Nothobranchius furzeri: one gene and its partners. The protein of the gene in region 1 binds, or shares a complex with, the protein of each later gene. Links are inferred from orthologs where the notes say so. Each region holds a gene or a part of one and is shown in the gene's direction. Other genes may lie near its edges. The genes, in order: hdac3, gps2 and coro2aa.

What was found.
Region 2: hdac3 (region 1) and gps2 share a complex: the UniProt entries of both Homo sapiens proteins name them as parts of the N-Cor repressor complex. The link is inferred for Nothobranchius furzeri from reciprocal best matches to the Homo sapiens genes HDAC3 and GPS2.
Region 3: hdac3 (region 1) and coro2aa share a complex: the UniProt entries of both Homo sapiens proteins name them as parts of the N-Cor repressor complex. The link is inferred for Nothobranchius furzeri from reciprocal best matches to the Homo sapiens genes HDAC3 and CORO2A.

What each region holds. Positions count from the first base shown.
Region 1 is NC_091741.1:31,103,618-31,107,721, forward strand, and holds the start of hdac3 (histone deacetylase 3), read left to right. Parts: upstream 1-1,167; 5' UTR 1,168-1,951; intron 1,952-2,048; 5' UTR 2,049-2,099; intron 2,100-2,187; 5' UTR 2,188-2,232; intron 2,233-2,314; 5' UTR 2,315-2,379; intron 2,380-2,455; 5' UTR 2,456-2,553; intron 2,554-4,104. UniProt on the Homo sapiens protein: Histone deacetylase that catalyzes the deacetylation of lysine residues on the N-terminal part of the core histones (H2A, H2B, H3 and H4), and some other non-histone substrates.
Region 2 is NC_091742.1:53,237,701-53,241,929, forward strand, and holds the start of gps2 (G protein pathway suppressor 2), read left to right. Parts: upstream 1-1,412; 5' UTR 1,413-1,552; intron 1,553-1,934; 5' UTR 1,935-1,958; coding exon 1,959-2,052; intron 2,053-2,384; coding exon 2,385-2,494; intron 2,495-3,145; coding exon 3,146-3,258; intron 3,259-3,345; coding exon 3,346-3,425; intron 3,426-3,502; coding exon 3,503-3,582; intron 3,583-3,714; coding exon 3,715-3,886; intron 3,887-3,957; coding exon 3,958-4,041; intron 4,042-4,133; coding exon 4,134-4,210; intron 4,211-4,229. UniProt on the Homo sapiens protein: Key regulator of inflammation, lipid metabolism and mitochondrion homeostasis that acts by inhibiting the activity of the ubiquitin-conjugating enzyme UBE2N/Ubc13, thereby inhibiting 'Lys-63'-linked ubiquitination.
Region 3 is NC_091744.1:13,219,221-13,222,868, forward strand, and holds part of coro2aa (coronin-2A), read left to right. Parts: coding exon 1-111; intron 112-522; coding exon 523-702; intron 703-1,310; coding exon 1,311-1,427; intron 1,428-3,082; coding exon 3,083-3,187; intron 3,188-3,262; coding exon 3,263-3,359; intron 3,360-3,648.

The sequences.
Region 1 (4,104 bases):
CAGGGTTATTTGCTGTGCAGAGAACTGGCCATGGATTTTCTGTGCCAGTTCACGTTCAGAGGAAAACATGGGGATGTCTCACAATATCAGATGTGAGCTGGAGGAATGTCAGCAATACCAGTTGCTGGCCCAGCGGAGCGGACTAGGCTTCAGTTTATATTAGCACCTTCGCTCACTAGATTACTGCCGAGAAACTGTGAAGGAGGTTTTTCATCAAGAGCACATCGTGATGGAAATGGTGGACCTTAAATGTTTTGGAGAGGCCAAAGCTGCTACATGCATAAAGAGTCAGAAAGCTGCCCAGATGGCACATGCTCCACTTTGTGTGAGGGTGGATTTTGGTGGATCCTCAACACAGATCTGTTTGTCTGTATTTGAGCCGGAAATACACAGTTTCTGCCATCTTGGCAGAATATTTGTGACTTACAATGCTCTGAGGAACACCTGGCATTGCGCTTGTGCAAAGCCACGAATATCGTGTCCTCATAAAAACATAGCTAAATGGCATCTCTTCCAGACACAGAGAGACATCTTCAAATCAACTGTACCACTATCATCAGGCACCCCATCACAGATGACTCAGGGGAGTTCTTCCTTTGAGGACAATGCTGCCGTTGAAAGGAGTATACGCTATATTTTTAAAGAGAAAAAAATTCCTGTATCTCTTCCAGAAAATGGATCATCAGAAACAGCTCTTTCCATGTGAAACGTTGTGCCAGGTGTGCCCAGAGCACCCAAACTTGATGAGGCTGTTCTAATCACCATTAAAGTGAGGATTGTCAGCATGATGGGAGTGATTGAGAGTAAGTTTTAATGAATATGATTAAACATCAGTGTGAAATAATTGGTTATTATTGTTCCTATACTAATGTTTTGACATTGATGTGATTTGTCTTTAACAGATGTTTCAACACACCATAGATTGTGTCCTCAGTGTCACATGGTCTGCAGATACCAGGAGTGGACAGATGGGCTTCACAACTTGGACAACCACGTTGTTTTGTCTCTTGAACTCTGCCTTTTTTTAAGAGAAAATCTGCAGGTGAGGATCACAAAAATAAAATATACTCATCTGAAGATTGCTTTAAAACGAGGATGGACATCATAGTTCTCCCTCTCTGGACACCTGCTCATTTCCAGTTGTGTGTAAGTCTTGTTTTTTGACACATACAAACTGTTAGAATGTTGCTATGCGTCTGAGATGTATTCAAGCTTTTATGACGCAGTTTCAAAAGTCTTTGATTGTGATCGCTTGCAATGACATCGTTTTCAGGTTTGAAGTCATGGCTAACTGTCTTTTAGGTACTGAAGCCACCTAAAAGAGAAATCCTCTTTCTTGACCCATTATACACAAAGGCAGGATTTGGTGGCCAACAATATGTTTCACTTTTGAGGTCACATTTTTATAAGCATTTTTGGTTTGTTCCAGAATTTTCAGGAACCTGTTCAGTGTCCCAGGTTAAGTGCATGATCATGTTCTGCTGATCTTGATTCTTCACACATACAGTACACTCACATGCTTTTTTATAAACTATATCAGCACGATGCTTCAACATTTTATTCTATTTCTCATCTTCACTTTCTGATCAAGTCAGTGATGCTGTCTTTAGATGAGTTTCAGACATAAATAGGGTCTTCAAACGTTTTAGTTTAACATAAAACACCATTAAATATTAGTTTATAAAATATGCCAGCCTCAAATTAAAGCTGAAAATGCTTTATTTTGACCAACTGTGAGCATGTGACTGTACTTTTTCATTTTGTTATGCTGTTTTGTTGAGGTCGTGTTCCTAAGGCCTGTAGTTACAGTTGGTGCTATTAGCAATAAACATTTAACACCCATCATGATGATGTCTGTTAACTTGTGAATGTGACTGTCTTGAAAAAAAGGAATCTTGCAGTGAAGCTCATTCCCGGGCAGTGGTCAGAAAAAAAGAGCTTTGACTTGAAGGTATGTGCTAGTTTAAGTGTATGGTGAATAATATGAATTACACTAGTCTTCTTTTAAGGGATTTTATTAATGAGCCTTTATTTTCAATGTTATACAGGGTTTTCCAAGACAAGACTATGGAGTTGACTGTGGGATCTTCATGCTGATGGTAATTTTTCTCTTCTCTTCTTGAGATTCATACAGAAGCTAATTTAAGCTTCTAAAAAAATTACATTTTTATTTTTTCTTCCAAATAGTCTGCTCTGTACGTGGCACTGGATGCACCATTTGACTATACTATAGTAAGTATTCTATTTACTTTCACAGCAATGGAGTCTTGAATCTTTTGAAAGTTGTTAAATATGTTTCATATTAATATTTTAGTCAGACATGCCCTACTTGCGTAAATGGTGGTGCTTGCTGTTGATGGAGAACTTTGATCTCAGGAGGTATTTATATTTTGACTTCTGTTCTATGTTGTGTCAAAGTTTACACACCTTAACAATATCAACATTTTCTGTTAAGCTCTGGCAAGCTGGAGAGAGGAAGCCAAAGCTGTGCTTGAAGGACAACACGTGCCCATTTTCAGACTGAAAAAGCGCAAGTTCCAGGAAGTCAGTCAGGTCAGTATTCACTTTAAACAGTAGTGTAATTACATGGTTAGTGACATTTGAATAACTGTTAAAAAACTGCAGCGTCTGCAGTGATGCGGACGCTGAGCCGATCTGTCGTGGGGAAGAGGGAGCTGAGCCAGAAAGCCAGGCTCTCGATTTACCGGTCGATCTACGTCCCAATCCTCACCTATGGTCATGAGCTTTGGGTAATGACCGAAAGAACGAGATCGCAGATACAAGCGGCCGAAATGAGTTTCCTCCGTAGGGTGGCCGGGCTCAGCCTTAGAGATAGGGTGAGGAGCTCGGACATTCAGGAGGGACTCGGAGTAGAACCGCTGCTCCTCCGGATCGAAAGGAGCCAGTTGAGGTGGTTTGGGCATCTGGTCAGGATGCCTCCTGGACGCCTCCCTGGGGAGGTGTTTCGGGCATGTCCTGCCGGCAGAAGGCCCCCGGGTCGACCCAGGACACGTTGGAGAGGTTACATCTCCAATCTGGTCCGGGAACGCCTTGGGGTCCTGCCGGAGGAGCTGGTGGACAAGGCCGGGGAGAGGACGGTCTGGAGCTCCCTAGTTGGGATGCTGCCCCCGCGACCCGGACCCGGATAAGCGGAGGAAGACGAAGACGAAGACGAAGTTAAAAAAACTGTTCTGCAACAGAGAAATAGCTGTGTTTTTATCCCCATTTACCTGACACAGGAGCCAGCAGTTGTTGAATATCTGCGTCCTGCTGTGCAGTGGGTTGTCCAAAACAATGCCAAAATATCTGTCCTTAAATCAAGGGGACCAGCAGAGGGTCTTAAGAGACATGTCAGAGGAAGACGACACTGGAGCAAGGGACATGTTCCTGTTTGTTTTTCAGTTTGCAGAGGACATGGAGCTCTTTTTGAAAGCACTTGCTGATGAGCAGGGACTAAGGGTCAGTGCTACTATGTTTGACATGTAATGGACAAATGAAGGCACTGACTGTGTTTGTTTGTTTGTTTGTTTAATATGTCATTGTTGTTGTTTTTGTTTTGTTTTTGTATAGTACAAAATTCCAATTAAACTTATTTCAAAATGTTGTTCACTTGATTCTATGTTCATACTTTTAAGAAAGGATTACAGAGTAACAGCATTAAATGTAAATGTAACAGCATTTTTTTTATACTTGTAATTTCAAAATAAAAAGCTTATTGTTGATATTAACAGTAAAGAATTGAAATCAATAATATTTGTATACATTTTAAACATTAGCACTCTGGGCTCTATCCTGGCCATTTGTGGCCACTTCACTTATTCTTTTTTTTTTTTCTTTTTTTTTTTGACTGCTGCACTGCAGTGGACCAAAAGAATGACACGGGTTTGATCTTAAGGATCTAATAGTTGTGTGTGTTGTGCATGACATTGCCACACAAATATGTATTTGCAAGATAGAGAAGAATAAATTATGACACATCAAATATTACATAGGCTGCAGTGAATTTCTGTTGATACAGACTGAAGCACATGCTAAAAACACTTTCTGCTGCTGTAAGTAAGCCTAACAGCTTCCAGGTCACCTATTTTTCTGGAAAGATGGTAG
Region 2 (4,229 bases), on another chromosome or scaffold:
TAGATGGCTTATTTTCTAAAGGTATTGTAAAGCTGAGTGCAATTTTTTTAAAGTTTGTTTTCTTTAATAACAGATTGAACTCTGTATACAGCTGCTTTACTGGCTCTCTCTCTCCATTCAATGCCGTACTTGATAAAATGTTATTAGAAATCTATTTGTGGTTTTTATTGAATTTTGGATCTTGAACAGCAGTTGTTGATGTTCAAACGTCAGTTTTGTTCAGCCTTTAGATTCTGTTCCTCTATTTGAAAGGTGTGACTTACTGCCTTAAGATTTGAGGGTGCTCAGTTTAACCAGGAAACACAAACTTTTTATTCTAATAGTAGAAAATTGCTCATCAGGTACATGTTTTCTAATTGAATGTTCTTAATCACACACACAAATCCAGAGTAAGATGCGGTGGGACATTCCAATTCAATAATTTTACATATTTTACAAATTTTACACCATTCAACAGCATCTCCTCTCACTACCAACCCTCAGCACCCCCCACCCCCCCTAAATCTGACCAGGTGAGGAGAGAACCAAGGTGGCTTAAGAGCAGGAAGGCTGCAGGTCCTGGCGGGATCAGCCCCAGAGTGCTCAAAGACGCACATGTCACGCACATGTTCAACCTGAGCCTTCAGTTGGAGCAGGTCCACGTTACGTGGACGACCTCCTGTGTGGTTCCAGTTCCCAAAACATCACATCCCTGGGAACCAGACCACTACAGACCAGTCGCCTTGATCTCCCATCTGATGGAAGATTATGGAGAGACTCATCTTTACCCATTTACGTTCAATGGTGAGCCTGGAAGTAGATCCACTGCAATTTGCATAGAAACCAAACATGAGGTGGAGGACGTGCTCATCTACCTGCAGCACCAGGCCCCGACACCTTGAGGTGCAAAAAAGCACTGAGAAAAATGTTCTTCGACTTCTCAAGTGCTTTCAACACGTCCAGCCGTGTCTACTGCAGCAGAAGATGAGGGGTGCAGGAGCGGACGAACATCTGACTGCATGGACCACTTGCAGTATGCTGCATAGTTCTGGAACCCAAGTTTTTAAATTTTCATTCATGGTTTTTAGTGGTCGAAGGTTACGATAATAGCTTACTGCTTGTGTTTATATATACATGTACCTTTTGTTGTTCTTCAAATAATTCTTTTAAGCGTTTGTGCTTCTGTGAGAAGTGAATTTCCCCCCACTGTGGGATCAATAAAGTCTATTCTTTTCTAAATCAACAGTACTTTTCAAAGAGCTAAACTCTAAAAACATTTTAAGTGTGATGTACTTATTTTAAGGTTTTCAGATAATGAACAAAGATTCTTGGTCAAAACCATGAAGGATGTTGTCCATTTTCCAAGCTCATAAATAGTACGGGTAAAACTACAATTCCCTTGATGCTTTGCGAAGGAAACATCACCACCGAAAGTGCAAATTGACTTCCTCACCCGGGCCCAAAACCGCTCCTTGCTCATTTATACCTGCGCAGAAGTTTAAGCTAAATACGCCACAGATAGAATACTGGAGCATATTTAAATTCTTCGTAAACGACTCACAAAACGACAAAAGTAAGTTTAAATACATTTTGCAAATTGACATTCAAGTAAAGTCGATCTAAACCAGGCAACACGGCGACGTGCTTTGCATCTAGCTAGCAAACCGTAACTCCCTATGTGTCCCCAAAAAACTAATTTGTCACAGTTTTGCTTGTGAAGAAGCACATAGCTTGTGTTTCAAAATGTATTCGTGTTTGCAGGAGAGTTTTAAGTTAGAAATATTCATAATAACGTGTATTACAGTATTTGTTAGCCTAGCCTACAGCTAATAGCATTTTATCCCATTTTACTCGTGCTTTATTATGGAGTTGCTACACGCTAGCTACGTACTGCCCAATGTAATGATTTCCGGGTCTGCTTGGTGACCCTGTAATGATGTTCTTAACCACACTAGCTGGCCCCTCCGCTGCCTGTCACTATGCCCGCACTGCTGGAGAGACCCAAGCTGTCTAACGCGATGGCCAGAGCCCTCCACAAGCACATCATGAGGGAGAGGGAGCGCAAGAGGCAAGGTGTGTTGGTGCTTCTCTGACTGAACGGACCATATACTGAACTTGTAGCCGATACAATACACTTTCTGTACAATTCTGATTTTGTTCCATTCTGTTCTAGAATCTCAGTCCTTTTAAAAAAAAATCCCAGTTCTCATCCCCATCCAGTTCTTTTCTACAGTCATTGGTTACTAAACTAGACAATTTTTGCTCCAAGACACAAACATCAACAGGCAATTGATCTAAACGATGAAAATGTTCATTTAATTATCAAAATGTGTCTACATTTATCTAGTGTTTATTCTTCTCTAAATAATGTAGGTTTTCTGCGTGCTTAATAATGTGATTTTCAGAGGAAGAGGAAGTAGACAAGATGATGGAGCAGAAGCTAAAGGAAGAGGAGGAGAGAAAGAGGACAAAGGAGATAGAGGAGAGGATGTCGTTAGAGGAAACCAAAGAACAGGTTGGTAACATAAAAATCACATTTCCATCTTCAGCTTGTTTTATTTTTGTTAATAATAATAATAAATGTTATTTAAAAGTGCCTTTCTATACACTCAAGGTGACTGTACATGATAAAAACACAAATTTATTAAATAAGTAAGTAAGTAAACATAAGTACAAGGAAAGAAAATAAACAAGGCACTCTAAAATTCAAAGTAGATGGGTGGTTTAAAAAAGAGGTGAGTCTTGAGCTGGTTTTGAATCGAGTAAGTGAGTTTATGTTCCTGATGCGAGGGGGAAGGGAGGTCCAGAGTTTGGGAGCGATGAAACAGAAGGCTCTACTCCCCATGGCGCTGAGGCGTACAGAGGGCACAGAGAGATGAAGGAGGAGGATGATCTGAGGGAACGGGACGAGGTGACGACATGGAGATCTGTTAGGTAATGAGGGTCAAGGTTATGGACGGCCTCGAAGGTGAGCAGGAGAATTGTAAAATCGATCCTGGCTTGCAGTGGAATCCAATGAAGCTGTTGAGGATGGGGTGATATGGTGAGGTAAGGGAGTTTTTGTTAGGACACGTGCTGCTGAATGTTGTACCAACTGGAGCTTACGGCGTTATCAGAGTTAATAGCTCTGATACAAAAACATGCTGTGCCTGTATTTTAACACCAGGTGATGAAGATGGAAGAAAAGCTGCAGGGACTCCAAGAGGAGAAGCATCAGTTGTTTTTACAACTCAAGAAAGTTCTCCACGAAGAAGAGAAGAGGCGCAGAAAGGAGCAGAGGTATAACCCAATAATATTATGGAGTTTTTTTTTTAAATCATTTAATGACTGGTGGAATTCAGCCTGTGCCCCTTCCTGTTTCTGTAGTGACATCACTACCCTGACATCAGCCAGCTACCAGCCCAGTCTGTCCATGCACACAGGGCAGCACCTCCTCAGTATCCCAGGTGAGACAGCGTCACTGGTCCTCCGTCAGGAACTGTAGGCGGTAGTTTTAACTGTCCTGTGACTTCTGTTGTCTCAGGCAGCCCAGTCAGCCACAGTCGACCCGGCGCTCTGCTGGGAGAACGCAGCAAACAGCTGTTCTCTGCTTCTGTGATCCCTGTAAGTCAACAGGATCTCTGGCCTCCCCTAAACATCAAATGTACTCATTTTTATTCTAAACAGTCTCTGTGTAAACAGAAGTGAGAAGAAATAAGAAGTCCCTTTTCTTAATACCTTCATCTCCCCTTGTAGACCCGCCATTATCAGACCCCCACATTCAGTTCAGGCTCAGCAGAACACGGACAGTTCAGCGGGAGCCAGGGCGTCCATGAGCCTTACGGGGTGGCTCAGGCCCAGCACCCCTCCTCCTATGCTCCAGGACCTTCAGTACCCGTCAGTTTCCCCAGCAGTTCTCAGATCAGAGGTGAGGCATCAGTAACGTGAATCAGCTTGAGGACAACAGGAAGTGTTGTCTAAACATCTGTTTACCTTCAGGTGCGTCTGCGTTTCAAGCCATGCAGTACCTCCCTCATCAGCAGGCTGGTTATCCTGTTCACAGCCCTTTTACCTCTCAGTCAGGTGAGTCTCACCCGTATGTCGCAGCCCAGCGCTGTTGTTTAAACTACGCTTGATGTTTTGTTTTTTTACTTAGTAGGAATTGTTTGTTTCAGGATACATCCCAGCACCAACGATATCTCTACAGAAGCAGCTGGAACACGCCAACCAACAGTCCGGCTTTACTGATGCTGTAAGAGCAAAATGTTTGA
Region 3 (3,648 bases), on another chromosome or scaffold:
AACCTTACGGTTCCGTGCAAAGAGCTGCAGGGTCACAGTCGCAGGGTGGGCCTCATCGAGTGGCACCCGACAGCTAACAACATCCTCTTCAGCACAGCTTACGACTACAAGGTGACACAAACCCCACCTGCACACCTGCGGCCCAATCTAGATTTGCTTCCAGCTTCTTTCTTAAATCACAAAATGAAGAGACTCTCAAACAGCTCCGGTGTGCTTTCACACACACAGCTGTGTTAAACGGCGTGAATTCCTTTGAGATATAAACAGAATGTGCTATTGTTGTGACCATTACAGCACGCCTCTAGATCCAGCTTCAGGCGTTAGCTTATTGACCAGAATGACATTATGGCTGATCATCTTCCTAGCATTGGTAATAAAAACGGACCATTAAGAGATATAATCTAGGTCGTAACCTTCCACGTTTTAAAAGTCTGGTTCAAACTTGTGTGTGTGTGTGTGTGTGTGTGTGTGTGTGTGTGTGTGCGTGTGCGTGCGTGCGTGCGTGTGTGTGTGTCCCTCCAGGTGATGATCTGGAACCTGGACTCTCCAGAGCAGGTGATGAAGAACCCGGTCCGGACCATCAGCCACCACACCGATGTGGTTCTGTCCATGTCCTTCAACACAGATGGCAGCCTCTTCGCCACCACCTGCAGGGACAGGAAGGTCCGGCTGATGGAGCCTCGCTCGGGGAACTTGCTGCAGGTATGCTACACATTAATGCGTGCAGTCATTGATCTTAGGTTGCTTCCACCTTTGAGTTCAGCTCAGGAGATCAGCACAAGCGTATCAGGAAGTAGCTTGTTTTTCATCCAGCTGAAGATTGAAACAAATTGTTTTTGTTTGCTAAAGGAAATCCAAACAGAGATAAATCTAGTGAGCTAATCATGGACTTTAGTTTTGCTAAATGAACTTATTGAACTTTAGAGTTTTTGGTCCGGTGTTGTAGGAGCCTCACAGCCGGGTGTTAGCTGGAGTCTCCATGGCTGCAGCACCGCGGCACTCATCCAGCACCACACAGCCAAAACTGACACCTTAGTCCTGGCCTGGATCACAGCGGGCTGCTCAGACCTCTGGGTCAGCAGCCACTGAAGCACACCCACTTTTAATTTAGTCCGCTGTCACTTTCTGTTGAACACTTTTGCTCAGAGACAATAAAACGCCGCAGCAGAAAAATAGATATTTTTATTTTATTTTAAACCTGTTGTGTGGAGATGTTTTCACAAAACAATCCATCATATTTACTTCAACCATCAGGTCTTTCAGATGGGAGACCTTCACTTTTTGTTGTCTTTTCTAACCCTTTTTTGCAGGAAGGTAACTGCAAAACACACAAAGCCAGTAAGGTGCTGATTCTTGGAAACATGAAGATGCTTTTGACGTCTGGCACCTCGCGCTACAACGATCGACAGATCGCTCTGTGGGATCAGGTGAGACCTGCTGCCCTTGGGCCCGTTTACAAATATTTATCTGTTCTGCTGCTCTGAGCTTGGGCATTTTCTGTAGATTATTCTTAAATACATCATGACAACTCAGACAAAACTGGCTTACTTCTGTTCTTGTGAAGAAATGTGGATTATGACTCGATTCTGCTCATCATTAGCTCCACGGGACCCCACGTTCCCTAAAGAGGACATCAGCTTCTTCTGCTATAATTCTGTTTGGACTCATTTATTATTTAGGGAGGCTGGATTTTATTTAAAATGTTTTATTTTGACTTGTTAAGAGACTTTTATTCTTAACTACTAGATATCCAAAAACAAAGATTTGTTTTTAAAGGGGACATACAATGCAAAACTCAGCTTTTGCATCCTTTTGTGCTGCCATGTGGGTCTTCACTGCCTCTATTACCACTCTAAACATGAAAGAAATCCATCCATACGTTCTTTGTCAGTGTTTGGTTTTAGGAATTATGTGCCTAAAATAAGCCAATTCAAAAAGTCCCCATTTGTGATATCACAAATTAGGATAGAACCGCCTTTCATGTGCAAGAGAGAGCTGCGGCCGGAGGAGCAGTGGCTCTCCCCAGAGCCCCCCTGGATATCAGAGATTCTCAGCTTTCAGCAGCCTGAGTGGGGGAGGGGGGAGCGTGTCCAGCTCCAGATTGTTTTCTTAAAGTGACAGAGCCCTGAAACGGCTCATTCTGGAAGGTACTGAAAATGCTAAGAATAAAACAACTGAAATAGCTTTATGTGAGAGGGATTTAAAGTTAAAGTCCCATTAGTTGTCACACACAGGTGTGTGTGCAAAATTTGTTCTCCGCATTTGACCCATCCCCTGGGGGAGCGGTGAGCAGCAGACACAGCCGCGCTCGGGAACCATTTGGTGGTTTAACCCCCCAATCCAACCCCTTAATGCTGAGTGTCAAGCAGGGAGGCATTGGGTCCCATTTTTTCAAAGTCTTTGGTATGACCCGACCAGGAATCGAACCCCTGATCTCCCAGTCTCAGGGCGGACACTCTACCACTAGACCACTGAGAAAAGATTTAGTGCAAAGAACGTTGGTTACGTATTATAACCCCAGATTCTATGAGTCTAGTCGCAGCCCTTAAGCTAGCTGCTATTGGAAGGATGATCTCAATTATTATTTTTCTTTGTAATTCTTATTTTCTGTTCTCTGTAATATACTTTGATTTTTAAAGTATCCTTGCTTGTTTTGTCTCCTTGTTTTAATTTACTGAACCCTGGTTTCATTGGTGATGAGATTTAGGCCCCCTCACCAGATACTGAAATCATTCCAGGTGTGTAGCTTCAGTGTGATGTGCAATGCTGCCATCTAGTGGACAGATAATAACTAAACCTCTCATCAGTTTACCTGAACTTGCCACAGTTTAAGATGAAATAAATTCAGAGTTGCACCTTTCCCCACGCAGCGCTCTGACCACACCCGGGAGTCTGCACTGTGAGGGGTGGGTGTGCATCGTGGGCGGGGGATTAAAGCAGAACATGGATTAGAGATGAAGCACTCAGTTTTAATTCAGCTCTTCTACAGCTGTGGATTAAAATGATTCAGTAGTTTCATATCAGGGGGATTTTCTTGTTTGTTGTGCATTTCATTTTTCGTAATCTTCGTGTGTGTTTGTAGGACGATCTGTCGGGGCCCTTGTTGCAGGAGAACCTGGATGGTTCCTCCGGGGTCATTTTCCCTTTCTACGACCCTGACACACACATGCTCTACCTAGCTGGCAAGGTAAATCCAAAACTGATTCATAATCCAAAATACTGCATCAGATCTTGTCTTCACAAGAGTTTCACTGTTTCACAGGGTGATGGAAACATCAGATATTATGAGATCAGCTCAGAAAAACCCTACATCCACTTTCTAACGGAGTATCGCTCACATGTACCTCAGAAAGGATTGGGTAAGGACCACACACATGGACGTAATTTTGGGGGGACAGGGGGGACATGTCCCCCCCACTTTTTCCAAAGTCAAATTTTGACCCCTGCACTTTTTAACCATCCAAAAACAATATTACGCTATATTAAATTGACACTGATTGAGCTCTAGGACCAAGCAGAAAACAACCGTTTGTGTTGAAGCCTGTTTCCCATCAGATAACTGTCCTCCAACCCCCCCCCCCCCCCCCCCCCCCGGGTCCCCCCCACTTCTAAAGTGAAAATTACGTCCATGACCACACACACACACAC